7 linked regions of the Coturnix japonica genome follow. The protein of the gene in region 6 interacts with the protein of the main gene of each other region in a biochemical or structural test. Links are inferred from orthologs where the notes say so. Each region holds a gene or a part of one and is shown on either strand. Other genes may lie near its edges.

Region 1 (3,500 bases), on a different chromosome or scaffold from region 6:
TGTCAGATCTTTGGCCTAAAACCCATTGCTTCAACAAGTATTATAAGACCACAGTAATTTAAATTAATGGACAGTGTAGTCTTAAAACATGAAATAACTTTTGTAAGTATTATTGCTCTTTCTCCAGAGTTCACAATTAAAAACAGTTAATAATACTCAGCTTGTTCAAGTCTCCACAACCTCACTATAACAGTTTCTAGTATTCACATTTCATATGGTTTATGCTTTACTAACAATAGAAAATGCCTCAAGAGTTAATAAGATCAAACCCTCCGGAAATTCAGTTCGATGTAAGCTTCATTACCAAACAATATATTTAATATAAACCTTCTAGAGCCGAGTACTATAATTTGGACAGCAATGTTGTTGGGAGAGAGATTAAGTTACAGCGTGCTGCTCAGACTGAAGAAGTGGTTGGAAGGGGGAAAAAAAAAAGGAAAGGAAACTGAAAATTCCTGTGGTTCAGGGTGTATACAGAAACAAATGGTATTTACAGTTTCTCTGTTCAAATATAACTTATCTTTAATCTCTCATAAAGTAAACCATACTGAGAATAAAGCCTATATGAAATAAACCTGAAAGCCTTCTTTATAGCAATTTATTCATTTTTGCCAACTTTATATGCAATGTTAATCATTACTATAATTGAGCTGGAAAGTTACGTATTTAAAACTTTACAAAAGTGAAGTTTAGGCATTTAGACATTGAAGTTATTTAAACAAGAAAATCCCTTTGGGTTCATGTAAGCAGGAAATAATTGTGTATAATATATTAAATACAGATATTTCCCTATATGACAAATTCACCAAAAACAGTACCATATTTTAAGAATCAAATCTAAAAAAATGAGTGTTGTGGGTAATATAAAAATTAACCTGCCCAATGATGACAGTCTGACAACATTAAGAAATCCTGAAATAGCTGTGTTTAAAATCTTGATTACAAATGTTATTATTTAAAATTTATAATTTAGTTTCAGCTGCAGAACACTGATTTTTCTATAAGTCAGAACACTCACCTTATGGGGCCTCCACAAAGAAGTGCTGGATATTTCCCTTTTAGAGGTTCCATATCTTTTCTTAACACCACTTGTTTTTCCTTCGTTCCCAGGTCTGAACTGTATGTGCAACTGAGACGTCCTTGCATTATGACACTTGTATTTAAGACTGGATAAACAGCAAGAAACTTTCTGACGCGATCCTTCCAACGAAACACTTCTTTGCAAAACATGGTGGGCTTTGCTCATCTGTGCATTCGGTCTTTCCAGTTCGTTTATATTCATCTGGTATTCTGAATCTATTTTTGAGGGTAAACATGCAGATGTGCTGCGTGCCAGTTTTAAAGGAGGGTATTTTGTAGTGGAGTTCAGATTTAACTCTTGACTGCAACAGCCATTAACCATTTCACTGCTTGATGCAAATGCTCTTGGAGTCAGATGAACTGAAATGCATGAGAATCTGTCAGCTATTTCTTCACGAGCTGTCTGCTCAGAACTGTTCAAAATTCGACTTTTGTCCCGTAATGATGTCTGCAAGTAAAGCTGTCTTATGTCTCTAGCTTCACCAGATGCGCAAACTGTTTTAGACAGTCGAAGTCCATTGACTGCTGTTGAAAGGAATCCCTTAGAAACAGTCTGATCTTCCTTATGTGCCAGCTCACTAGGAGAAATAATTAGTTTATGTGATGTTTGATAGGCACCTCTATGTGGCATCTGACCTGAGGTTACTGGAGTAGCTGGAGGAGTACTGGAAGGGCTTCTGGGGAAAATTACCAATGATGAACACCGCCGCAGCGGAACTTTGGTTTTCTTCCTCACCGACACAGCTTCTTGGTCAAAAGCAGGGTTAATTCTACACACTTCTATTTCCTCCTGAGATGAACTGCTTCTGTATGGACTGTATTTGTTTGCAGTGTTTCCATACGAAGAATCACCATGTACAACACTACAACAGAAAGAACCATCGCTTGTGGAGAGAGTGCCGCTGCCGCTGTCACTGATGACGCTGTTACTATATGAACCTCCATCACTCGTGGTACTTGCACATGATCCATAGTCGCTGCCAGCACTGCTGAAGGACCCATTGTCACTGGCTGCAATACTGTTAAGACTGCCGATGCACACAGCAGTATTGCTCAGATGGCTATCGTTAGCTTGATGATCAACCACAGTTCTGATGCCATAATTTCCTTCATTACAAATACTGATGAATGAAGCATCTTCGCCAGCAGCTGCAGCATCACCAGACCGAAAACATTCATTATGCCTTCTAGATTGCAGAGAAATGTGCAGAGACGTGCTCTTTTTTTTTTGCAGTGAAGAAATAGCTGCATTTCCCTCTTGATTAATTACTTGCTGCATTACAGGTGCACAAGCAACTTGTCTAGAAGCCAGCTTCATTTGTATACCATTAAGTTCAGAATTCTGTGCCTTTTTGAAGTACATTTGATTGTTACTATTCAAAACATCTTCGGAGGTTTCCGGTAACAGATCCGTGTTCCTTCTTTGGGTTGCAAAATGCAGTCTTAACCGTCGTGCCATTTGTTCTCATTTCCATGCATATTAGCAAATTAAAACCACAAAGATCCTTCAGCAGAAAGTTTACAGGCAGCTGCACAGAACCTGGAGCTAGTGCATCACAACAGCAAAAGCCCATAAAAGAAGTTGCAAGCTTTGTCCTAATTTCTACAGGATAGTAGTGTTAAGAAAAAAGATATTGTACCTCTTGAAATCAGTCAGCCATTTGTTGAAGTGCAGTTTCTGGACCGTCTTTGATTGCTCGCAGTCAGAAAGCATTCATTTATAAAGCACTTACATTCCAGCGACCTCAGCTGCAACGTACTGACAAACACTATCAACCTTGTTTCGATTATACCTTCTGTAATTTGCATATATGAATATAATAATAACCTCTCAGCACTTCCAAGTTTAAAACAGCAGCTTCTGCTGCAGCTGCACTAGCTGAGTCAATGTGTCCGTACTTTCCCCAGCAGCGTATGACTACTAATATTTTTACCCATAGGTTTAGAATTACAGGAAGTTGGTAGGAATGAAATCCCATATAATTGAGTATCAAGTCTAGGATTGAATTTCCAAATAGTAGCCATGCTAGCAAACTGCTGAGGTCTGACTTATGCATAAACCAGCAAAATAACCCTCCTCCTTAAAAAAAGTTTTTCTAGGCTATTTAAACAAAACTTGAAAGAAACCTGGCATTACCTAACAATCTGCATTCTGTTTAACCAATCACTCTTTGCAAAGATTTCCACGTAGTGAAAAGGTCTCCTACCAATTAGTTAATGTTTTTTAGTGAGACGCCTCTAAACTCGAAGTGCAACAAGATACTCTGATTAATAATTCAGTGCTTATATCCAGACTGCCATGTTAAATAATATATTTCAACCTTTCCAAATTACAGCTGTTGAAGGTAGAAAGAAACAAAATATTCTTACAGTGCAAAGCAAAGTACCATCTTGTTTGCTGGAAGCCCAGAATAAGCGGA
Region 2 (4,222 bases), on a different chromosome or scaffold from region 6:
TCCTCATTGCATTCCTGTAGAGCTGCAGGCTCTGACTGCCGGCGGGGTGCAATCCTGCACCCCCTGGCTCTCCACCTTGGGCAGGGAACAAGAGGCAGGAACAGGGCACCCAGCACTGCCCCTGCCAACCCAGCAGGGCACAGGGCTATGCCTAATGGTGGCTGATGCTTGGTCAGGTTGTGTGCAGTCATGCAAAGTCATCGCTGTGAGTTTATCGCTCATATCAACCCCACAGAAAGGGATCTGTTTCCCCCAGAAGCTGAGTCTTTTGTTCCTGGGAGTGGTAAGGTGCTGCAGACCGCTAAGTGGCACTGAACAGGGTGCAGACCATGATGCTGACACTCCAGAACTGTGCCACTGTGAGCCAGCTGACCAGGCTGTGCCTTGGCCAGGGCTTCAGTGCTGCTCAGTGGGACCAGAGAAATGCCTGTGCTGGAGGTGGTGCATTAACCAGAGTCTGAAACTGGCCTAGATCCACTTTTACTAAACTGGGTGTTAGTACCCATTTAAGCTCCTTGTACTCTGAAACCAGAGATTTCCATGTCTCTGCAGTGCGAGAGAGCAGGTGCACTACTGCTGACGTAACATGGAACTGGATAAAGTATTTATGGCTGGGGCTTCTGCAGAGAGAATTCTACACCCTAATCTTGCAGGCAAGTGAACAGGAAGAGAGTCGAGCCCTTTTGCAGGGGACCGGTGGTGCTAGCAGTGAGAATCATGTGCCCTCAAGCCAGAAGTCTGTATTTAAGTTGCAGATAATCAGAGCTCTTGTCCTTAAAGGACAGCTGCTGGGCTGAACCCAGCCTCATGATCTGAACTGATAGCTGCTGGGCACAGGCAGATCAAGGTAGTTTGCATCCCAGAGAAGGCAAGCAGTGGTGCAGCTCTGCAGGGCTGCTGTGTGCCTGCTTTATCTCTGCTCACAGGGTGCTGGGCTCTTCTGCCCTCTCCAGCAGAGCGATTTCTCGAGTGGGCAAAGGACAAGAGTTGTCAGCTGATGCTCTGTGGAAACCATCCTTAGTGTGCACACACCAGCAGGTGCTCAGGTATGGTGCTCACCAGGCTGCAGAGCTGCACACCAGGGTACCTCAGCACAGACCTTTTGGGGTCCATGTTGCCCTCTCATTAAGGCCTGGGGCTTCCTTCACTTTAAGGGAAGGCAGAGCCCTTCCTTGGCGCGTGGGTGCAGTGGGGAACTGTAGCCTTGGTGCCGTCACTGGGAACAACAGTCCCTTGTCCTTTTCCATGTGAACCAAAGATAGGAGCTGCATTGATCCTGCTGGCATCCAAAGCAGCTGGGAACATCCGCCAAGCCTGCCTGGGACTCAACAGATAAACAGCACGTGGGGTGCAGAGAGGGTGGCTGGGCAGCTTGGCTTCTTGCTGTCCCATTAGTGTCCTTCTTCTCCCCTTCCCCCTCCTCCTTAGCAGTCTGTTCAAACCCCCGGACGCTCCTGGGCACTGCTGAAGGGACCAGTCCCGGACTGGGACAATAAAATCCCTGACACCACTATTTGAGAGGCCTCGGGGGGAGAGGCCCCGCCAGCCGCACGGGTATAAAGCTGCCCCCTGTGCTGGGCACAGCACCGCAGCAGTTGTTTGCTTGGCTCCTCTGTCGCACTCCGATGGATATCACCATTCACAACCCCCTGATCCGCAGACCTCTGTTTTCTTGGTTAACACCGAGCCGTATCTTTGACCAGCTATTTGGAGAGCACCTGCAGGAGTCAGAGCTGCTCCCTACGTCCCCCAGCTTCAGCCCCTTCCTGATGAGATCCCCCTTCTTTCGGATGCCCAGTTGGCTGGAGACGGGACTCTCAGAGGTAATCTTCCTTGCTTACTGTTTCTTGTTACCACTAGGTGCACATCCTGACGGGTCTGGAGCTGGGGACCCGGGAGAGCTGGGACACTGCTTGTAGGTAGTTAATAGGAAATCTATTATGAGGAAAAGAGTGCTGAGTTCTTGCCTCTGCTCCTTGGTGTTAGGCAAGGACCTCTGCACTCTCTGCTAATCACTTGTAACTGAGAGCAAATATTGCCACAGCCATGGGCACAGAGACAAACTGAGCTGTGTGTGTGCTGTGAATGACTGTAGAAGCCAGCAAGAGAAAGGAGGAAGCCTGATTTCTCTGTCTGCCCTGAAAAATTTTACATTCTGCGTCCTCCTGAGAAGCAGAGGGGCAGTGGGACCCCGTGCCAGGCAGCATGGGAGCCCCCAGATGCTGAGTAGAAAGGCCCAAGCTAAAGCATCTCTGCCAGGCAGAGCAGTGTTTTCAGAGAGATATGGGATGGGAGGACCTTTAAATGGCCATCTGCTTCGGGGGCTGAGGCACGCAGCTCAAATGACTTTGCTCAGCATGCAGGTCAGATGCCAATGTGCAAATAACTTAAAGAGTTACTCAAAGCCAGTGGAGTGAGAGGGAAGTATTTTCTTAATCTTTGCTTAATGTTTCCCTTGGTTTAGTCACCTGGTCTGGTCATATGCTGAAGCAGCCATAATAAGCACCACAGGTAACAACATCAACATCTGACTTTTTCAGTGGAGAAATCTTCACAGTAATCTAGCAAAAGGAGCAGGAAGCCCTCCAGGTAAAACTGAGGAAACCAGTAACCAGAAAGCTAGAACTGGCATGGAAGCTGCCTCCATGTCCCAAAACAGAGCTGCAGGAGGCTCGCGTTTTCCCTGACTGTGACTGCAGCAGGAAGGCAGAGACAGCCAGCCTGCATTGCCGTGTCCCACTGACTTATCCAAGACAGGCAGAAAATGCAAATTCAACCTCAGGAGCAAGCAAAAAGCAGCATTTGCTGGAGATGATAAAGTGCAGAATGGAAGGTAAGGATGCAAGATGAGCAGCAGGTGACTCAGAGTTTCAGCAGTAGCCCTGCTGCTCAGATAAGAGGGGTGAGCTGGTAGTGCTGCTCAGCTGAGACACGCTATTTTTGTTTTTAAAGAGTGACGACGCAGGGGAAAGCCTGCAAGTGACACAGATGAGCTGCAGCCAGCTGCACACTCTGTTTCTTTTTCCAGAAAGACTTAGCAAAATCCAGCTGCAGAGACTGGAAATCTCCAGACACCTCAGAAAAAGTAGATAGGAGTCAGTTTTAACAAATTCAGATTGAGAAAGTCTCTTTCTTATTTCCCAGAAAATATCTATTCTCTGTTTATCCAGAGAGAAAGCATCATGTTTTATGTGCTGTAGTGGTGGGCATGAATGGAACAGGCTAGCAAGAGCCAGATGAGAACCCCAGGACTGAAAACAGGAGGTCAGACAGTGCGTGTGGGGAGCCCAGCGTGAGCGTGACTTGCTGCATGTTGAGAGTCTGATGAAGCTGAAACCTCTGCCTGAAGTCGTCTCCTTGTTTTACAGATGCGACTGGAGAAAGACAAATTTTCTGTAAATCTTGATGTGAAGCATTTCTCCCCCGAGGAGCTAAAAGTGAAGGTGATTGGGGACATGATAGAAATTCATGGGAAACACGAGGAGCGCCAGGTACTTCTGTGTCACTGTTAACCAATGTGTGCTTCTTCACCTATGGTTAAACAAGGAAGCTGCAGAACAATCCTCCTCTGTGCTCTTCTGAAACACTTCCAGTGTTTTTGATCAACCAGTCCTAATGGAAGATGCTCTATGCAAACCCCCAGCTGATCCCAGACTGGGCAGCAGCAGAGTGGAGATTTAGTGCTGGTATTGCATGAACTGTGAACTGAACTGGAAAATCAACTTTGAAATAAGCATTTCCGGGCCTCCCTCTTTCTGGAAGAGGACAGGAATGCAGAGAAGCATTCAATAAGTTAACAATGAGCTGTAATAATTAAACCGCATAACGAATGAATGCATTGCCATGTTCCATTAGCAAGAAGCTATCTCTTCTTGAAAAAATACCCATTTACCAACTTACAGTCCTTAAAGGCTGTACTCTGCTGTCAGCCATCCCATTGCTTACTGGCTCTGTGGCAAAAGGTCAAAGAGAGGCCAAAAGCCACGTCCAAAGCTGTATGTAACAGGGATTACCTATCCTCCTATCCTTGCAAGAAGGAAACAAATCCTAAAGTACCTGTATCATTGTACCCATCAGCTCCAAAACTTCTGGGTGCCCAGATCTGTCAGTCAAATGCAGCACTACTCATAGACACTGGAAGCCTGTAATTCTGAAATAGCTTCTGCGGGGTTTTTTTTGTTTGTTTGTTTTTTGTTTGTTTTGGCTAAGAAATGAATCCAGA
Region 3 (4,055 bases), on a different chromosome or scaffold from region 6:
TCCCCAACAGTGTGAACGTGTATTTTAATACTGAAATAAAAAGAAAATTGGTCTGTAGTGCTTTTGGCAATCCTATTCTTTATCCTTAATTATTCTTGCCTCAATTCAAAGCACTTGATGTGATTACGCTCGATTTCCTGTGAGATTCTCTCAGTATTTCAAGGTCCAACTCAGTGAGAACTTCAATGAATGGAGGCCTTCAGAGCTAAGATGGATTCCATTTGGAAAGCAGGTTTGTTTCTGCCTCAAACTGAAGATGCACGTTCCTGCTCTCCATTTGTAGAAGAGCAAGAGAGGTAACTCGAAACAGTGTGATAGAAGGCTAAGAACATTGTAAAATCCCTTAAAACAAATGTGTATTACAGGCATTACAAAGGAAACAAATAAATCCCCTTCGGTACTACGCACCTATACAGCACCTTTTAAAAGACCTCAAAGCACTTGCTGTTAAGCTCACAACCTTGCTGTGAGGTAAGGTTGATGAAATCAATTCCACCTTCCCTGATTCGGAGCAGTATGAGAAGTAGGGCACTTCACCCAGCTTGTTTTGTTCTGACAGTTCAACTGCATCATCCTTCATTATCTTGAATTATAAGCCTTGCTCCTCAACAGTCATCGGTGACAAATCAAACACATTAAGGCAGAATGCAGATGAAGAAACCTCCAGCCTCCCTTCTGGATTACTACTCCTTGCTTCTATAAGACTTCTTACCAGCAAACACAACTGAGAACTATACCTTAAAGTGCTAATTTACAGTATTTGGAATCTGCTACAGCTTAGTAACACTGTGGCTGTGAGATCAGCTACAGCCAAATGAAGACCATTCCGATGTACTAAAGAGATGCAAATTAAGATACTTCCCTAATGAATGTATTTCCCTCCTGCCAGAATTGAAGATAAAGTGAAGAAGAACCCAAGTATTCCAAGTAACATGCCTACGTTCCAATGCAGTGTAAACACCAAGGGGCTGGATAGTTATTTTCCAAGCAACTAAAAGCTACCTATGGAGGATTAATAAGTTTATTCAACACTTAACCACCTACTCGTTAATTTTAAGAAGGCTATCTTAAAGCTTAAAGGCCACTTCTCTCTCTAAAGCCGTGACTTCACACAAACAATACATTCTACTTCTGATAGTAACATAGTGTAGGGCAGCTTTAGGGATGCTCTTCCCACTATATACTGCGCACCCCACGAGCAGTTCCCCTTGGAAGGGCTGCTTCTATGCGCAGAGTCTATTTATGAGCATAAATAGTGCTGATACGTACATTTCCTAAACCCTTAATTTAATTACCCTGACAACATAAAACAGTGATTTAGAGGCTCGCTTTTTTTACACTAGTATTGAACAAGCCTGGTTCTGTATGGCCACTCAGAGCACACACTCAAAGAGAAGGTTATTACAGTCATCAGGTTTTAGCTGCCAGTGTACATCACCTGCCCAGTGACTCTAAATCAGCATGCGAGAAGATAACCTACATTTCAAACCAGCTGGATAAATCCCTATCCAACACCAAACCTGTGCGCCTCGGCCATCGTTAAGCTAACACGCTTTTCAAGCTCTGTGAACGGAATTTTGTGATTAAATACAGCTTATCTGGAGATCCAGAATTTTATTCCGGATGAGTGAGGTAGTAGATGTAACCATCCTCATACAGGAGTCACACCTCCCCGAAGTTGGTGTGTCCCGTCTCCTTGGCGTGTTCTCTGGCTTCTACTTGTCCCGTCAGTCCCTTCTGGCACACCATGCACCTCAGAGTGAAGCGATTCACGTCGGTGAACTGCCTCTTCCTTCTGGCTTCATCTGCTAATTCCAAAGCTTGTGCGAGGACGACATCATCAGTGGTAGAGAAAATGGTTTGGGGAGGAACGTCCGAGTCGAGGATCTTACGCTCGAGCGGATCGTAATGAATCCCATCATAGATCAACAGCACCCGTTTGGTGTAGCCGGCATCCTCCCCGAAACGATCGATTCTGACCGTCTGTGTGTCCACCACACAGATCTCACACTGATAAAACTTAGATAAAATAGAAACCTCGATGGCTCCCCCCCACGTTTCCTCTCTCCGGATCCAGTCGCAGTATTCTCTATTGCTTTTCCCCAGCACAGCTTCACAATACGCCTCGGGGTCGCTGCCTACGATCTGTGCTATGAGGTTACGCATCTCAGGAGCGCAGCCGGGGTCGTACACCCCTCCTTCCACCACGTAGTTGATGCTGGTGAATAGACACGAGTTATCAGCCGGTACCACCCTCCTGGCCAACACTGGAAGCGCTTCCATCACCTCCATGGTTCTCTTGGTCACCACTGGGGAGCCAGCACTGGGTTTAGATGTATCCTCCTCCACTATGAGCGTGTCTCCTGTTAGAGAGAGGGGTGAGATGAGTATAGAGGCAGATTAACACCAACCCATCCCCAAAGAACACAAAGTGCTGTATGTCTATGGCTCTCAAGCACCTCCAATGGGGGGTGAGCACCCACAGCCTCACTTAATTAGACTAATTACAGCCCTAATAACTAGGCCTCACCCGAATGGATGCCCAGCTCTCCCAGCCTCCTCTCTCCATCACTCAGATCAATGCTCCGAGGTGGGAAACCGAGCAACAACCGCTGTGCCGAGGCGGGGACGCCGGTGATGGCGGCTAAAGCGGCCTGCATGTCTCTGAGCCGGGTGTGTGCGGTGAGGCCGGGTAACAGCTGGGTCCCGCTCCGGGCCTTGCAGCGCAGCCGTAACATGGTCGGTGCCGCCCCCCTTCCTCCTCCTCCTCCTCTCCTTCCTCCTTTCCTTCCCCTCCTCTTCCTCACCCGGCCCAGCGCCCGCTGGATCTCGCGAGATCTCTTCCCGCGCTGCTGTTTCATTTGGCGCCAGGCCGCGGCCAATCGTGGTTGTCTCCAAAGCGGGCGCGCGCGCGCGCCGCGGCCGGTGTGGATCTCATTTGCATGCAGGGCGCGCTGCGGGTTGTGGCGTAGAGCCGTTCTCCCGCCCGCTTGCCGGGGTGTGATTTGCATCTCATTTGCATGCAGCGCGGCGGCGCGGAGCCATGGCGGCAACGTACCGGCACGGCGGCAGAGCCGGGGCCCAGCGGGGAGGGGAGAAGAAGTGCTGTAAGTACCGTGTAACCGTGCATGGAGAGCTTATGGTTGTCTTATTGCTTAACAGAATACTAGGTTCCCACCCCACGCGTGGGTTTGACTCGCTATCCCGGTGCTCTTGGTGCTGCTGGCAGTGTCAGCCCATCGCTGCAGCCCTGCTGCCTCCTGTTTTTCGTGACCATCTGTTTGAACCCATGTTTTCTTCCATTCTCAAGCCATTTTTCTCCTGCCCTTGTCAGCCGGCACCTGCTGGGTAAATATTTGCCCCGCCGAGAGCTGCATTAGCTCCATTAATTGCAGCAGGTGCGCCGCTGCTAATCACTTTCATTAGCTAACACTGCTTGCAGCACTCATTAGGAGCCAGGTGCCAGCTGCAGGACGGCCGGCTCTGTCTATGTAGCTCTATCTGTGCACTGGGTTCCATGCTATCATTCCCCTGCAGCGTGGGCATCCTACATGACCAACTCGCCCACCCTCATCGTGATGATCGGGCTGCCAGCCCGGGGGAAGACCTACATCTCCAAGAAGCTGACTCGCTACCTCAACTGGATCGGGGTGCCCACCCGAGGTGTGTGTGCGCCCACACAGCCCCATTAACACGGGTGGGAGGGTGTTGGTGGGTTCCCATCTCAGCACTGTGTTGCTTTCTGTCCCAAGTGTTCAATTTAGGGGTGTATCGCCGGGAAGCTGTCAAGTCCTACAAATCCTATGACTTCTTCAGGCATGATAACAAGGAAGCGATGGAGATCCGCAAGTGAGTTGGCATTGCAGGGCTGCACAGATGGCCCGTGGTCTGCTTAGGCTCGGGGTTGGCAGCCTGTGTGTTTCTGTAGCACCAAATAACATTGAATGCCATGGAAGGAGGTAGTACAGTGCACGGATCCCTTGGCAGGATCTCTGGGTGCGTGGGAATGTTGTTGGCATCAGAACTAGATGGAAAGGAAGCAGGGGCTTGGAGCA
Region 4 (3,947 bases), on a different chromosome or scaffold from region 6:
TGCTGCGTGTTTGCTAGAAATACTCATATAACTAAGTGGATTCTGGTGCTCCCAGCTCTATGGTACAGTGAAGTTCAATCCAATTAACCAAAAGAACAAAGAAAATAAAGGGGGGGGGAGGAGAAAAACAACCCAAAAAACAGCCCTTGAATGCGGGCTACCCTGCCAGTTTGCTGGCCACGAGTGAGGATTTTCTCTGCGGGAGGTCCTGAGGCTTTGGGATGTGGTCTCCTGTCACCAGGTTCTTATCCGGCCCTGCAGTCGGCAGCTGTTTGTTCTTCATCTTCGCCTTGGCCATGTTGTAATCACCGGAATCAAAGTATTTTTGCTGGAAGAAGAGAAGGATTTCAGGTTACTCTGAAGCTCTTTGCAGGACGGCCGAGCTGCACACTGAGCTATAAACACACCTTTAAGAAGCTGCGATGGCTGATACCCAACTTATCACCAGAACAACACACAAGGGGAAAGTCCAAGGCAACTGTTGGGCCTTTATTTAGCAGCTCCCCACAACACCCAGTACGGCTCAGGTGTCTCATCCCAGCCAGCAGCCTACACCCCTGTCTCTTCTCCTTCCATTACTTGAAGGGAGCTTATAACCTGTCCCCTCTCCTTCCAGCTTATAAACACATAGGAGAGCGACTTCTTACACACACAGACAATAACAGGACAAGACGGAATGGCTTGAAGCTAAACAAGGGGAGATCTAGGTCAGATATGAGGCGGAAATTCTTTACCCTGAAGCGTTGCCATGCTGGTACTGCTGCTCACATTAGTGTGGGTCCTGCCTGAGCTGGTGGGAGGGCACTGAGCCCACAGCACTGATGGGGCTGGGGGGACTCTGTGGTCCCTTCCTACCCATTCTGTGATCCTAACAGTGACTGTGTCTGAGCCCACAGCACTGATGGGGCTGTGGGGGCTCTGTGGTCCCTTCCAACCCATTCTGTGATCCTAACAGTGACTGCGGGGCAGACGCTGTGTCAGCAGCCTCGTCCAGACAGGCTCAGCTACAGCAACGCAGCTGGGGGACATTTGCTGATCCCACTTTGGCAGACAAAAGAGCTTGTGGGACAAAGGCAGAATGAGCCCAGCCCAACCCACAGCCCAGCCAGGCTCCTGCAGCCAAATGCCTGCAGAGATGTGGCACCCAGACAGCTCCCATCAGTGCTGAGCTGTGGTGCGAAGGGCAGCCCGCTCCCTCGCCCATGACTCCGTGCACCCCATGGTGCTGCTCTGCCCTGCTGACAGCAGAGCAAAGGGCAAAAGGACGAGCAGAGTTTGGACAGTGCTCTGAGAAATCCTGCTTGAACTCTGGGCAGTCCTGAATGGAGAAAGGAATTGGACTTGGTGATCCCTGTGGGTCTCCTCCATCCCAGGGTATCTAGTGATGCTGCCAACAGCTTTTTGGGCCCCACAAAGCCCAGCCCAGCCCTAAAGCCCTTTCCCTACTTGGTGCCAAAGGATGAATCCCTCATTTCTGTGCTTGCTTTAGGAGCTGGGACCTAAAACATGACCTGTCAGCAAGGCAGCACACAAAGAGCTGTGCAAACAGCGAGGGGGCTGCACCAGGACCAGCAATACGGGGTTACATTAACAACCAATAGAGCTAATGGGACCCTGGGTTCAATTAACAGCCAATAGAGCTAATGAGACCCTGGGTGTAATTAACAGCCAATAGAGCTAACGGGACCCTGGGTGTAATTAACAGCCAATAGAGCTAACGGGACCCTGGGTGTAATTAACAGCCAATAGAGCTAATGAGACCCTGGGTGCAATTAACAGCCAATAGAGCTAATGGGACCCTGGGTGTAATTAACAGCCAATAGAGCTAATGAGACCCTGGGTGCAATGCCCAGAGCACGGGGCAGGGCGATGCTCCCCTACTCTGTCCTGGGGGGAGTGGAGTAAGGTTCCTTACCTTAATCTTACAGTTGAAGTGGGTTAGTGTTTAGGGTTAGTGTTTAGGGTTAGGGGTTTAGGGTTAGGGTTTGGGGTTTAGGGTACTACTCTTCCACTGTAGTTATAAGCAGAGTGGGAAGTGCTGGGAGAGCCTCCAAGTGGGTATGGAACAATTGATGGGGAACAGATGAGAGCTGTGGGGCTGAGATCAGGAGCTGAAAGGGGGCAGGACAAGGGGGGACAGGACAAGGGGGGCACAGGGCGGCCCCCCCCCATCTCTGTGATGCTGTGAGTGCTGTTGTGACACCCCGGGCCCATTGTACGGAGATCACGGCTCTAAGTACCCCTTTCTGCAGCCTCTTCATCAGGAAGTCGGAGCCGCCGGGTTTCTGGCCCAGGTTGGGGTATTTCGCCTTCAGTTTCGCCTCCTCAACCCGCTCCGGGATGGCGGCTTCATTGTCCTGCGGGTCCTGAAAGGCAGCGGGGCCTGTAACAGTGTAACATAACGCGGGGCTCCGTCCCCACCCGCAGCCGGTTCCGCACTGAGCCCCGCACAACTGGGCCCCACAACCCCCTCCACCTCTCCCGGAAGTCCCACCCCCGCGCCCACACGGCAGCCAATGAGCGCCTAGAAGAACAACGACGGAAACAACGACGGGAGCCAACCGCTGAGCGAGGCGAGGAAGAGTGGCGCGCTGCCGGACCAATGGGAAGAGGGAGGGCCCGGCACGCGGTTCCTCACCTGTTTCTCGTGCCCGCAGTGCTCCGTGACGATGCCGGTTCCCAACGGGGCGGCCATGGCGGGACGGGCGGCCCTGCGGCTTCGCGTCGCTCCGTGCGCGCCGAGCAGCCCCGAGCTCTGCTCCAAAATGGCCGCCACCGCCCCCCTGACGGCCCGGCTGCGTGACGGACAGGCGGCTGCCCAATAGGAGCAGCCAGGAGGCCGTAGTGACGTCACACACGACCAATGAGGAGCTGCGAGGGGTGGGGAAAAGGGCCGGGCTTGGCCAACCCGTGTGAAGCTTATGGAACCAATGGGAAGTGAGAGAACACCTGGTGGGCGGGAGGCGTGGCCAAAAGTTTGATAGACAGCGGGAAGAACCAATAGGGGAAAGGGGGCGTGGCCAAAGCTCGGGAGCTGGGTAGAACCTTGAAGCGGCGCCCCCTGGCGGGCAGAGGAGGAACTGCAGGACACGCGGCCCCGCAACTCGCAGCGCCCCCCGCCCCCACCCCACATTGTGCGACCCCTCATTGTGCGACCCCACATTGTGCGACCCCCAAAGCTCCCGTAGCGCCTCAAGGCCCCGGGATGGAACTGACACCGCTTCCCCCAACCCCAAATTCAAAGGAAAGAGGAGCTGATCCAGCATTAAGGCAGAGCACTGAGAGAAGGGCTGCAGGACGGAAAGGAACGTGTTCAAAATTCCCAGGGGGGGAAAAAAAACAACAAAAACAGGAATAAAAAACAAATAATCAGTGTAAACTTTTCCCTCCTGGTCTGACACAGAGACACCCCCGGCACACACAGCCCCTGAAGAACCAGGGCACAAACCCAATACAGCAGGGAGCAGCAGGAGGAGGCGAACCCAAACCCTAACCCTAACACCTAACCCTAACCTTAACCCTAACCCAATACAGCAGGGAGGAGGAGGCGAACCCTAAACCTAACCCAAACCCCAACCCCTAGCCCCAAAACCCTAACCCTAACCCAACCCTAACCTTAACTCTAACCCAAACCCTAACCCTAACCCAATACAGCAGGAAGCAGGAGGCAAACCCTAACCATAACCCTAACCCCTAACCCTAACACCTAACCCTAACCCCTAACCCCTAACTCTAACCCAATACAGCAGGGAGGAGGAGGAGGAGGCAAACCCTAAGCCTAACCCCTAACCCTAACCCTAACCCAATACAGCAGAGAGGAGGTGGCGAACTCTAAACCTAACCCTAACCCCAACCCCTAGCCCCTAAACCCTAACCCCTAACCCTAACCGTAACCCATAACCCTAACCCAACCCCAACCCTAACCCTAACCCAATACAGCAGGGAGG
Region 5 (4,199 bases), on a different chromosome or scaffold from region 6:
GCCAGTGCTTCTACTGGGGCTGCCTGACTGCACTGACTGATACAGCCAGCTATGGTGGTCCTCCAAGAACTGCTAGTACCCAGTGATCAGCAGGAAAACCACACATACATTTTTAGTGTGAGATAAAACACAGTGGAACGCAATGTACTGCACCAGTGAGATTCAAACGAAGGAGAAAAATCAAGGAAGATTCTTCACTCCAGACTTTGCTGCTGAAATGTTCTAGGCTAGCAGGACAGAGACTGTGCACTACTTACTGAGCTGCTTAGCTGACAGAAAGTGAAGTGAAACTGTACTTCTTTGTTTAAGAATCTTTTTCACTGTGTATTTTTATTAACACTTGGCTGTAATTTGTGATTTTCTATGCATAATAACGACTGAAGGGCTCAAAAGAAGGCTACACCAGAATAGCTTGGAGATGCCAGCTTCTCAACAAGAAAGCTGCAGAGTCATCATACGGCCTTGCTGCAGTGAGCAGCTGTCTCTCCGTACTGCATTTCACTGAACAAAAGCGCAGCAGAATGAGAACACAGGCAGCGAAGACCCAAATCTCTCCCAGTGAATCTGTTTTCACAGCTGGAGACAGAGCACTTGCTATTCTATATACAGCATCACTGAGCTCAGGGACTCAAGTGGGCAGTGTTAAATTGCACAGTAAAGCAGTTTAAAGCAAATGACTAATCTAAACCCTTCCCTTTCATTCCTGCTTTGGTCTTTCAAAAATGGCTTAAAAACATGAAACTTCAGACTTCATTCGTTATAACAGGACCAGAAGATGAATCCTGGCACCTGAAAGTAAAACCAACGCAAACAGAACTGACAGCACAGTTTCCCAAGTTGTTTGATCAGGACTTGTGGCACACAAAAAAACAGGACAAACCCTTAGCTTAGAGAAGGCCAAAAGCGAGTGAAAAAATACACCCTAACGCCTCCTTTTTCCCCCTAACTTTTTGTTACCTTACCTGCTAGGCCGTTACCTTCATTAGACTTACCATGAGATTTCTACCACTTTAGCTCCTATTGCATTACGATGCACATTTTTAAAGCCACAGGGGTACAAACATGCACATTATCCTTAGGCTTTATCAAAGCATTTGTTTTCAGGCTACGAAGTGCACAAAGAATTCCTTAATCCTTAATTAAACATGATCCCTTAATTTGCCATTTGGTTGTTCTGATTTTAAAAGAATCTTATGTACAACATGTGACGTTAGGATCTCAAAATATTACACCGCACATAACCACAGCCGAGGACAAAGCTAAAGCAGATCTGAAACAGAGATCACTAGTGGCTGGTTCCAGAGAAACAGCGAATGTTCTAGCACTAACAAGGGAGCCGTCCAGTTGCCTCAGGTTTAAAAGCCTTTGCATGGCAATTCTGTACAGTGTTAGCAGAGCACACTCAGCATCTTACTCACCGCGGTGCTGGCTGCTGCAGGACCAGGGGTGCCACGACATTCTGTACCAACCACTGGACTTTGCTCCTCGGGATTACGGGTGACAAGGATTCTGAAGTGCTGCTGTCTCGTGTTTTGATCTGGTCTGATTTTAAACAGGCATCCCTTCCCTTGAGGAATTTTCTCTACTGAATTGCTTCTGGATATTTCTGACCCGCTCCTGCTGTTTCCATGCAGTTCTGAAGTCAGTCCCTCACCTGCAGGGCGGATTTCCTCTGGCCGTGGTTGCACAGGGTAGGAAGCGCTCCTCCCCAGCTGTATGCGCGGGTACCTGACCAATCTATCCCCTTTTGTCCCAGTAAAGCCAAAGTTATACTCGCCACCTTTACCACTTGCCTGCGGCTGCTGTAACTGGAGAACAAAGAACTTTTTCCCTGCATTTGCTGACATGTCTGGCACATGCTGCAGAGACCAGCGCCGGGGCTCGGGGGTGGGAGCATTATTTTGAGCCTCGGAACCATAGGGCAACAGAGTAACCTGAGGCACATCGGCACTTGAAGCACGATGCTGAATCCTCACGCCGCTGAAGTTCAAACCTGAAGGTGTTTCCTTTGCTTCATTCTCATGGGCAGTGGACAGAGCATCGTCGCTCTGGTTATTAGGAGGAATAGTACGGAATATCCTACGGTTACAGCGAAGAGTGCCATTCATCTGCTGCCCCAACTCCTCTGTCTGCCTGGGTGGAGAATCATCAGGAGCCACCTCTGGGCTACTCCGGGAGGATGAATGGTTTTCAACGGGAGACACGTAATGCTCCCTAACATCCGAGGCCTTGCTCAGGGGTGTCTCCTTGGGGGTCTCCGGGGTCGCGCACTCATCTGCAGCCTTGCGCTGGAGAGAGATCTGCATGGAGGAGCTCCTGGTGGGACGTGCGCTGATGCTGTTCAGCAGCTGGGGAATAAACATGGAGGTGCTCCTTTTCAAGGAGCCCACTTCTTGGAAATCGCTGCCACCGCCGTAATCTGCTCCGTGTCGGGAGAAAGCGTGAGGGCTGCTTCTTCTCGGCAAAGTGTGGAATGCCATGAAAATCTCATCTTCTCTCTCCCGGTCGAGGATCTCGGATTCGGGGGCTGTGTTGCTTCGCCCAGAGCCAAAATGAAACCGCAGCCGATGGGCCATGGTTTTACAGAGAGAAGAAAAGGAGAGGGAGAACGGCAACAATTCAGGCGCTGCCAGAAGTTAAAAACCAAAGACATAAACTCCAAGAAAAAGTGTCCCATCTGCCAAACTGTTAGCACTGCAGCACTGATAGCGACAGATAGCAGAAATAGCCCAAGTGGCAAGCAGCATTCCAGGCATGATTGGGTAAGAGCAATCAGCACTCCTACACACAGTGACATGGGGTAGGATGGTGGCGGTCACGTGGCCCGGTTCCCCCTCTCCAATCTAAGCCAGTGGGGGTTCTGTTGTTTTTTTTTAATGCCAGCGAGAGCCTGAAACAGCACCTTCCCAGCTGCTCCTTTTCCATCAGGGCGCAGCTGACCGAGGCAGCGAGCACACTCGGCGCCGCTATAAATCTAACTCATCTCGTACCCGCACGGCGCGTTCGCACAGGGCGCACGGAAAGTTAACGACAACACAAACGGTTCGGTGTTAGGGCTGTAAGTCAACGCCACATGCAAATAAGGAACAATATTTCAAGCTTAACTTTTTGGTGTGTGTTACAGCACGAGGCTATCATGGCAGAACGTGAGTAAATATAGCACCGTTACGCTTTCAATTTTAACTGTGCTCATAGCACGGTTAAGTAACAAGCTCCTTGCCTTTAAAAAGCCACAACTTTCACGTTGTCCCTAGGAGCGCAATGCAGCCCAAGTGAGCCCACACAGCCCCTTTTAATCAGTAAAAATTACAGCAAACAAAGCAGCCCTATGCACAGCAAAGATTTCTCACTCAGTAGAAACAGGAGAAATGCGCAAAATGACAGGAGGCAAAGCTCCTTTTCCAGTGTTACCGGGCAGTAACGACGAGAGAAAACCAGAGACGGGTGTCGCATTGCCGTTTGGTACCGATTTGTCTTAAACAGCGCACAGAAACTCTGCCCTTTACTGGCCAGCCTCCAGTGGGAAAGTTAGCAATTCTACCATGGGCGTGATCGCAGGCACGGAATACAGTTACACTCTGAGAGCCAAGAGACCTCAGAAGCAGAACAGACCAGCAGGATACATCCAACTGCAGAACAAACACCCTGAATATGCTCCACTGCAATGCAGGAAATTGGTGACTGGGGGATCCTCGCAGCCGAAGGGCGCCCGCCATCGCAACGGTTCGCACATGCTGGGGAAGCACCCGGTTAGCTAAAAGCACATCTACAAGAAGAGACAGCGTAGGATCAGCTCAATGTACAGACATCTGTTCCTTAGGAGAACACTGAGAAGTGCTGTCAACAAACTATCGGTGGCAGGTCAGTGCTCTGTCTAGACGTTTAAACCTCTGTTTCCATGCGGCTTGCTCTCAAAAGACATAAAGTGACCAATCAAAGACAAATGGAAGCTTCAAACCTTGCAACTGCCAGCAGACAGCACAATCCCCTATTGTTTTAAGTGGACCAGGAGCCAACAAGAAGAAAAACATGAATAGCTTCTACACAGCCACAGTGCTGTGGAACTGTCTTGTGCAAGCACAAGTGTTGATTTTATCTTATTTTTCAGGTACACCATTTTCCATAGTCTCTTTTTTATCTGAAGATGAAGACACACCACGTATTCTCTGCTCTTATGGGGGGAGAGAAAGGAAAGGATA
Region 6 (3,500 bases):
GCACTGTAAGGCCAGTCCTGATACTCACATTCTTCACCCTGCTTTTTGTATAGAACAGGCTTGTTTGCTTCTTTTATTCCCCCCATGCTTTTTCAGGGAGCCTGAATTCCTCAATGCACGCTCTTGGAGAGAAAATAAGCCGTCATAAATGACTACTACCCTTGAAATTCATTTTTAACAGGTTACATTTTATTTGCTTCAGTTGAACACCATTATTTACAGACACAAGTTAATAAAACACATCACAAAACAATAAAATTTCAACAGTTAATATTTATAGGTGCATAGTTCATGCTCAGTTACTTTTTTATATATATAATACATACACATTTACATAAAGCTTTCACAATAAGTCTTTTCTGCACAGAAATAATAGTCATAGGAAACAAATAAAAATTGTATCATAAACAATATCAAAGTACTGACAGCCTATCAACAAAACATGTACAGAGTTAGAAAGAAGCAGTAGACACTTAGGTGTTTTTATTTAGTGTTTTGTTTTTAACTTTTAAAAGTGAAGCCACAATATCCACAGCACAACAATGACCCTGCCAACCAGCTTTCATTTCAGCAGGAGGGAAATGCTGAAACAAGGTGGATGCAGTCACAGATACTCCAATCATTGCTGATGGAAGACTTCAAAATACACTGTAAAAACTGTAAAAAAATTTTACGACTGGGCACATTGGAACTCAGCACTTGTACAGAATGGGACGTCTTTGTTAGTAGATTTCAGGAGATATAAAGGAAGAAAAGATTTCTCATGCTTCAGGTTCATAATCTTGATACTCTTCCTATGAAGGAGAGCAGAAATCAGTGCTACTATTTCAAATAAATACATCCTAACATATATATTTTAACTTCTACTGATTGTGCTAATCACAGTATGTGCAGTGAAAAAATATTATGGATTTTTATGTGATGAGAAACTTGTCTTGTGTTTACTGTTTTGTCACATTTTCCAGATACTCTATTTGACAAAGTGTGGTGTTAACAGGAGAATAAGATTTAGCAGTGGTTAACATACCACTCAGTTATCACAGAGACTTCAGCAACGAATTTGTGACTGATTCTGAGCAAGCATAATGAAGAAAGGGAAAATAAATAAAAAACACCTGTGTGTGAAGTCTACCTACACTACTCTTTAGCCTTTTTAAAATGATGATTTTTTTTGTAAACCCATTCATGTGGGTGAAAGCAAGCTGCTACATTTCAGCTGGCATCCAGCAAAACAATTGGACATGTTCTTCAGTGATGAAGATCACAGACACTTGAAAGCACGTAACTGGGCTCCTCAGTCTGCTTATGGTGAGTTAAATGAGCCTCTTTTTGAAGGATCAGGAGTGCAAGATGTTTTACAAAAGCTCATTGCAAAACACTTCAGGCCTTATGTGGTTTACTGAAACACTAGAGGCAGCTAAATCTCTGTGCTGTTAGCATACCTTTTTTTCAGGCTCATTATCTATGTGACTTCAGGACTTGGTTCAGCTCACTCGGAACTACAAAATGATCTCTTCTGGTCCCCACTGACATAGTGAGAATTTTGTGAGACAATGCATGCCAACTCACTTAGAACTAAAGAAGAACCTCTGAACAGCACACCAGGTGCTGCAAATACTCTGGAAACCTGAACAGCAATCAGAGATCAGGTATCTATTTAACTCTTCACTGGATCTAGTTCTAGATGTTTTCACCTCTGGTTTTCAGCCTGACTATCTGCACTACTGCAAAACTGCCACTCCAAATGCTGATGAATCATAGTATCATGTATTGTTGTAAAGCTTCAGAGAGCATAATCAGGATTAGCTCAAAACCCTCAATAATTTACTCCTATAATTTTAGTTATTACACTCAGAGCAACTTCCAGCACAATCCAAAAAAACACATTAAATGTCCAACCTATTAAAAGAATCTATGGAGAAGTAGAAGTTTCTCCCCATAACCTGTATCAAATAGAAGTTACTGATGATTACTCAGAAAGTGAAACATGCATGTTTTGAAACAAAGATAATATTTTCTCATTAAACTTCAAGAAATTAATTTTTTTTCCCCTTTTTCTTCCCCCCTCCCCCTGCACTGTACCTCAGAGAGATTTTGGCCACAAACTTATTTCTCCTTTGACCCTGCAGCTCATGGTATCAGCCTATGCCACACTAATGCAACTCCAGCATTCAGTATCCTATCTTTGCCTTTCTCCTGTGGACACAAACAGCAAATACCACAACAGATTTACCTCTGGAGGCATTTCATAAGCCTCATTCTCAGGATCCGCAGGAATATCAGTATTATTCACCATTCCTTCCTGCAGGAAACCTTCTTCATTCTACATTTAAAACATGGAGAGAAAAAAAAGTAATAAAGTGTCAGATCAACTTCTTGCCTTCTCATTTATTCCAAAGCACTTCTTTCCTCCCCACACAGTGGATAATGACTATAAATGCATGTAGAAGTAAGAGGAGGCCAAAAGGGATTGGGTAGTATCAAGACACAGAAATGAAATGGTAATTCTATTATGCATTTTGTTTTTGGCAGATAATTCACCCTCCTAATCCTTTATTTCATTTTATAGTTTTTACTCTTCTCATATTACATTTCAAAGTGGCCAAAGGAGGAAGAACAACTATAAGTTATTGCATGTTGTTGTCTTTTTTCCTACAGTTTTAGAACCTAATGATATTGGGAAGCATTTTTCCCTTAATGATTCATATTTTTATATCCTTTATTATGTCGAGTAGCACCTTACTCTATGCAGTATACTTATGACACATGACACAACTTCTTACATTCTTTCTTAGAGATCTGTTATTGACCATTAAAGAAGCATTTCTATCCACCTCTCCCACCTCTCCACCATCCCTGTAGGGGTTATTAATGCAGAAGGTCACATAGAAGAAGTAACAGTTTTACCAGAACAAAGACTGCTAGAGTTCATCCTAAACTGTAAGAAAATTGATATGAAAACCAGAAGATGATCTCATTGGAACTATTCTGACTGAACTAATTTATAGCAGTTACCAATCTAGACAGAAATGTACTAGAAAAACCCTAACAAACTCAGGAAGGGAATCACTAAAAAAACAAGCAGTCCTGAGGCTAGTAGTGTGGAAAGAAATACAAAATTAAGTCTGTCACAAACAACACTAATGAGGTAATTCTTCAAATTTCGTAATTTATAGGATAGTTACGCTAAATTAAATTTAGGATGTAGATAAAAACAAATAAAAGAGCAACTAAACTGGAAATTCACCTCTGCCAGTTTAACAGAAAATACAAAATAATATGCAAAAAAGTGGCATTAAAACATCATTACCTTACCACAGTATTTGTCATGCTCCCTTGATGATTCCCAATGACTACCTTAATTTAACAGGAGATGAAGGGCATGGAGTGAGCACTACATACTGAAGAAATAGTATTTTCACTGCGAGAACTGGATTTAAGACTTTTTCTTTCCTTTGATAAACAACTATTTGGAATAAACATGAGGGAAGATTAAATAG
Region 7 (4,248 bases), on a different chromosome or scaffold from region 6:
ACAACAGCTAGCAGAAAGTCTGTCAGGTGTAAAGCCCTGTGGAAATGAGATTCAAAAAGCAATTTTCAAACCACAGGGTGCATTTGTAAGGGTAGATAAGGTTTAAGCCAGAACATTAAATAAGACAAACCTGTACAAAAAAATCATGCCGCATTATTTCATCTAAACTGGGCCGGTCTTCTGGATTCTTTGACAGCATGCTAGCAATTAAGTGCTTTGCAGGTGCCAAGAGAGATGAAGGCAGACTGTATCTTGCTTCCCTTATACATCTGTATGTTTCTTTAAGATTTGTGGTCTCAAATGGGGGTCTTCCCAACAACATCGTGTACCTGTTGAAAAACAAAAGCCAACTTAATTTTGTGCACCCATAACACAAGCTGGCAACCACTGCACACATTTTATCTGTCCCCTAGTAAGGAGAACTTCGGCACTTGGGTTCGGCATCTAGAAAGGGCTGCAAACCAACACAGCACTGTATCCATTTCCTTTGAACTCTTAAAAGCCTAAGCCAACGACAGAAATATTTTATTTCAAAGGCAGCAAAGTACTTACATTACACAGCCTAAGGCCCAGATGTCGGATTCACAGCCATGCCCTTGTTTGTTGAGGACTTCTGGAGAGAGGTAATTTGGTGTGCCACATATTGTTCTGTAAAATCAAAGAGGCCACAGAGGCAGGTTAGGGTAGGAGCTCAGGGAGAAAAAGGAAAGAAGCTATTTTTCATAGGGCAGGTTTTACTCTCAAGTTCAGGCAAGAGCTCAGAGACTCCTAAAGAGGACTTTTATGAATGCTAATAGCATAGACACGTTTCACAGTGCCTTCATGATACAGGAAAAGCAGACTCATATCTGCACTATTAGTCAGGTATCCTGCCTCAGGCATTTGCTATTATTCAAATGCTGAGAGGAGGAATGCAAACATCAAAACACAGCAAACTTTTCTAGAAGGGGAAATCTTGATTCCAGAGCACAATTAGCTCTTCCTTTGACACAGGATCTCTCTATCTCCATCCCTCATTTCTAAGTGAATTTGGTTTTGTACACTACAATACACTTTTTTTTTTTTTTTTACTTTAATGCTCCTACCTCCTCCTGTGTTCCAGTGGTTCCAGCCTAGCTGCCAAGCCAAAGTCACCTAGTTTCAGTTCCATGTTCTCATTAATGAAGAAGTTACCTAGCAGAAAGAAATTCTGGTTAGTCTCCTTGCAAAGCAGGAATGCATTTGCCACAGGTGCTGAGTCATACTTTATTCAAAACCAGAAGCTACCCAAGACTTTTGGTTTGTTTTTTTTTAAAGTATGGATACTTAATACCATTTCTCAAACACTCCAGCTTCCCACTGTATAGGCAGACTAAGCTATTAATTAAGCTATCAGCACACAAGTTTAACGTGACACAAGGCTGACAGGGCTGGAAAAGTATGTATTTTTAGAAGTTGTCGAGGAACAGAACTTACCTAGCTTAAGATCCCTGTGCAAGATTTCCTGTTCATGAAGATACTTTAGCCCTGACACAATCTGCCTGAGGTAGTATCGTACTTCTGGTTCCGTCAATACCTTCCGTGCTTTCAAGATGTGAGCCATTGACTGCAGAGGAAAAAACAAAGGCAGACGTGTCACTCAGCATTCACACAAACAATTCACATCAAGTACACAAAAATTAATGCATGGATGAACTAGAGAAGCCCTGAAAAATACTTTTTACACATTATACCTTTAAATCAATTACAGATTCCAGGCAAGTAAGTACTGGATTTCTCCCAGCTGATGCTCACCCTTCTACTGCAGTACTCCAGAAGAATGTAAATATTCTCTCTGTCTTCAAAGTAGTGGTAGAACTGAACAACATGTCTGTGATTAAGCATTCTGTGCAGCTCAATTTCTTTATCAATCTGGTGAGATAAGAGAGAAGGAAAAAAGCATTGTTAGCCGTGTGACCACAAGCCTGGGAAGCGCAGAACAGACAGCTCTGCTGGAGTTGTTCCAGGAAAAGGGTTGGGCAACCAGCACACAAAGCGAGTTTGAGGGGAAAAAAAAAAATAAAAAAAAATCGTTCATGCACACACACCTTCTCCCTTTGATGAGGTTTCGCTACTCTGCTGTGAGGAATGATTTTTGCAGCATAAACTTTATTCGTCGTCAAATCTGTCATCTCATAGCACTTGGCAAATCCACCCTGAAGAAACACAGGAGAAAAAAAAGCCATTAGAGCAGGTAGGAAAGAAGCCCCGCACTGAGTCATTCACCAGGTCGCATATTAGTCAATGAGCATAACTTCCTTCGGGCAGGACAGCCGGCTAACACGCGGAGGTGCTCAGAGCTCCCTCCCGAAGGGCTGCGACGGTCGCACAGCGCACACCCGAACGCTCCCCGCCGGCTCAGGACACACGGGCTCGGAGTACGGGCGAGAATGTCCGCGGCCGCGACAGACGCACGGAGACCCCGGGAGCAGGGCTGCAGGCGCAGACCCGGCCATTACCTTTCCGAGCACCTTTCCGCGGCAGTAGCGCTTCCCCGTCGCGGGGTCGGTTATAATCCGGGACACCTCGGCGGCAGGGTGTGCGTGCTGGTGGGGCTGCTCTTCTGCTTTCTTTCTCCGCGGCTCGGCACTGCTGGCCCTCCCCACGGCCGCCTCGCAGCCCCTGGCAGCAGCAGTATTGCTGGAGGCTCCGCTGCCTCCCGGCGGGTAGGCGATGGTCCGCAGCAGCTCCATCTCCGCGTCGCCGTCCCGCCCGCCTCCCACCTGCCGCACAACTCAGCTCCGCTCAGCTCCTCTCCCCACCCCGCTCCCGGCGCTCACACAACGCCGAGCAACCCACGGCTCGCCCTTATATCTCGAGGAAGGCCCCGCCCAGCGGCTCGGCCCCGCCTCCTGATGCTCAGAGCGGCCCGGCACGGCCCAGAGCTGGGACAGAAGCCCTATGCAGACTCGGAGGCAGCATTGAGGGCATTGCGGCCGCCCGCAGCCACCCCCGGATCGAAGAGGAAACCAGTTCTGTGCGAGCCTTGCTGCCCTCGCTGTTGCTCACATGGGGAGATCTCGCTGCCCAGCCACATCCCCGCGCTCTCGGAGCCGTCTGACAGAGGGACAGATACAGGCAGCACTGATGTTTTATTTTCACGGACAAAGACGTTTCTTCAGACATCCTAAACACACCTCTAAGACAACGGAACTTTTGCCATATAGGGCAGCCCTCGTCTGTTAGTCAGAACGGCAGCATTCATTTTGCACTGAGCTTGCAGGCTGTCCTGGGCAGCAAGTCTCATCCCACTTACTTTTGTTTTGTTTTTTGCCAAAGATATTTCAAGCATCACATCCCATTCTCTTCTTTGTCCAGACACCTCCTCCCAGCAGCCCAGAGCTTCTCCTGTGATCAGTTGCTTGCAGTACTGCAGTGCATGGCACCAAAAGGCTGCAGCCGGGGGCAGAAGGATAGCTGCTTGGAAGCACCTCCTGCAACACTCTCTCCCCCCTTCCAGGATGCTGCTTTGCAGCTGACATTAAAATTTCTCCCTACTTCACATTAGAAACTGGGGTGCACAGTCCTTGATCTCTGATACAGATGTTTGAAAAGAAATGGTCCTTGAAGAGTGAAAGGTCCACGTGAGAGGAAAGTTTTAAAGTGTGAAAGTTCCTGTTCATTTCTGAAAAGGAGTTTGCTTTTTCGTACACACTGGGAGTACATCTGCTTGCTTACTGTGCTGGTGAAAACAGAAGTCCAGTTAATTCCATACAAATTAACATCCAAGCACATGACCATATAAAAGAGTATGGTATCCTCCCCTGAGCATTTCTTTCAGATCTTAAAATAACAGTAATATATACTCAAGTAATAAGTATTGCTTTATGAAGTTAGTGCTTGGGTGCACATACACTTGGTTGTGTGGACTCTACATGGTCTGCACATCTGCATCTAGGCTCTGGCCACGTGCTCCCCCTGCATAGACGTCTCTTTCCTCTCTCCAAAGTCATGATAGTATTGTTAGAATTGAGCCAAAGGGGTGGGGGACAAAAACAGAAACAAGTTAAAATTCAAGATACCCAGGTTTCACTCCTCGGTGCTATGCCAGCTTTTCCCTTAGCCCCTCACCAACTGGCTTTCCAGGCCAACAGTATTGCCATCACACAACTTACATTTGTCCAAACTAGTATAAATAATTGAAAAATAAGTAGAGATAAGTTGCTTAACGTTAAAAATAATTTCACGGTTCTTTGTTTTCTGTCACTAAATTGCTTTGGTCTGTTGTGC

The links.
Region 1: of the proteins of SNCA (region 6) and NEDD4, one has a biochemical effect on the other in vitro, tested with the Homo sapiens proteins (3 studies listed by BioGRID). The link is inferred for Coturnix japonica from reciprocal best matches to the Homo sapiens genes SNCA and NEDD4.
Region 2: the proteins of SNCA (region 6) and CRYAB form a complex in vitro, tested with the Homo sapiens proteins (4 studies listed by BioGRID, with this or other methods). The link is inferred for Coturnix japonica from reciprocal best matches to the Homo sapiens genes SNCA and CRYAB.
Region 3: the proteins of SNCA (region 6) and YOD1 form a complex in vitro, tested with the Homo sapiens proteins (2 studies listed by BioGRID, with this or other methods). The link is inferred for Coturnix japonica from reciprocal best matches to the Homo sapiens genes SNCA and YOD1.
Region 4: the proteins of SNCA (region 6) and ENSA form a complex in vitro, tested with the Homo sapiens proteins (2 studies listed by BioGRID, with this or other methods). The link is inferred for Coturnix japonica from reciprocal best matches to the Homo sapiens genes SNCA and ENSA.
Region 5: of the proteins of SNCA (region 6) and NEDD4L, one has a biochemical effect on the other in vitro, tested with the Homo sapiens proteins (3 studies listed by BioGRID). The link is inferred for Coturnix japonica from reciprocal best matches to the Homo sapiens genes SNCA and NEDD4L.
Region 7: of the proteins of SNCA (region 6) and PLK2, one has a biochemical effect on the other in vitro, tested with the Homo sapiens proteins (2 studies listed by BioGRID). The link is inferred for Coturnix japonica from reciprocal best matches to the Homo sapiens genes SNCA and PLK2.

What each region holds. Positions count from the first base shown.
Region 1 is NC_029525.1:6,722,655-6,726,154, reverse strand, and holds part of NEDD4 (E3 ubiquitin-protein ligase NEDD4), read right to left. Parts: 5' UTR 2,540-3,500; coding exon 1,019-2,539; intron 1-1,018. UniProt on the Homo sapiens protein: E3 ubiquitin-protein ligase which accepts ubiquitin from an E2 ubiquitin-conjugating enzyme in the form of a thioester and then directly transfers the ubiquitin to targeted substrates. Specifically ubiquitinates 'Lys-63' in target proteins.
Region 2 is NC_029539.1:5,449,303-5,453,524, forward strand, and holds the start of CRYAB (alpha-crystallin B chain), read left to right. Parts: upstream 1-1,422; 5' UTR 1,423-1,625; coding exon 1,626-1,823; intron 1,824-1,899; exon of another isoform or gene 1,900-2,833; intron 2,834-3,368; coding exon 3,369-3,491; intron 3,492-4,222. Other genes in the region: HSPB2 (heat shock protein beta-2), read right to left, coding at 1-7. UniProt on the Homo sapiens protein: May contribute to the transparency and refractive index of the lens. Has chaperone-like activity, preventing aggregation of various proteins under a wide range of stress conditions.
Region 3 is NC_029541.1:2,847,228-2,851,282, forward strand, and holds the start of YOD1 (ubiquitin thioesterase OTU1), read right to left. Parts: upstream 2,801-4,055; 5' UTR 2,739-2,800; coding exon 2,531-2,738; intron 2,364-2,530; coding exon 1,663-2,363; 3' UTR 1-1,662. Other genes in the region: PFKFB2 (6-phosphofructo-2-kinase/fructose-2,6-bisphosphatase 2), read left to right, coding at 3,044-3,107, 3,538-3,663, 3,753-3,849. UniProt on the Homo sapiens protein: Hydrolase that can remove conjugated ubiquitin from proteins and participates in endoplasmic reticulum-associated degradation (ERAD) for misfolded lumenal proteins.
Region 4 is NC_029540.1:1,835,794-1,839,740, reverse strand, and holds the start of ENSA (alpha-endosulfine), read right to left. Parts: upstream 2,801-3,947; 5' UTR 2,696-2,800; coding exon 2,639-2,695; intron 2,367-2,638; coding exon 2,241-2,366; intron 329-2,240; coding exon 158-328; 3' UTR 1-157. UniProt on the Homo sapiens protein: Protein phosphatase inhibitor that specifically inhibits protein phosphatase 2A (PP2A) during mitosis.
Region 5 is NC_029547.1:603,835-608,033, reverse strand, and holds the start of NEDD4L (E3 ubiquitin-protein ligase NEDD4-like), read right to left. Parts: upstream 2,801-4,199; 5' UTR 2,577-2,800; coding exon 1,419-2,576; intron 1-1,418. UniProt on the Homo sapiens protein: E3 ubiquitin-protein ligase that mediates the polyubiquitination of lysine and cysteine residues on target proteins and is thereby implicated in the regulation of various signaling pathways including autophagy, innate immunity or DNA repair.
Region 6 is NC_029519.1:31,233,867-31,237,366, forward strand, and holds the end of SNCA (alpha-synuclein), read right to left. Parts: intron 2,324-3,500; coding exon 2,234-2,323; intron 795-2,233; coding exon 762-794; 3' UTR 168-761; downstream 1-167. UniProt on the Homo sapiens protein: Neuronal protein that plays several roles in synaptic activity such as regulation of synaptic vesicle trafficking and subsequent neurotransmitter release.
Region 7 is NC_029547.1:19,439,763-19,444,010, forward strand, and holds the start of PLK2 (serine/threonine-protein kinase PLK2), read right to left. Parts: upstream 2,801-4,248; 5' UTR 2,712-2,800; coding exon 2,478-2,711; intron 2,175-2,477; coding exon 2,067-2,174; intron 1,891-2,066; coding exon 1,774-1,890; intron 1,586-1,773; coding exon 1,456-1,585; intron 1,174-1,455; coding exon 1,086-1,173; intron 649-1,085; coding exon 553-648; intron 330-552; coding exon 131-329; intron 37-130; coding exon 1-36.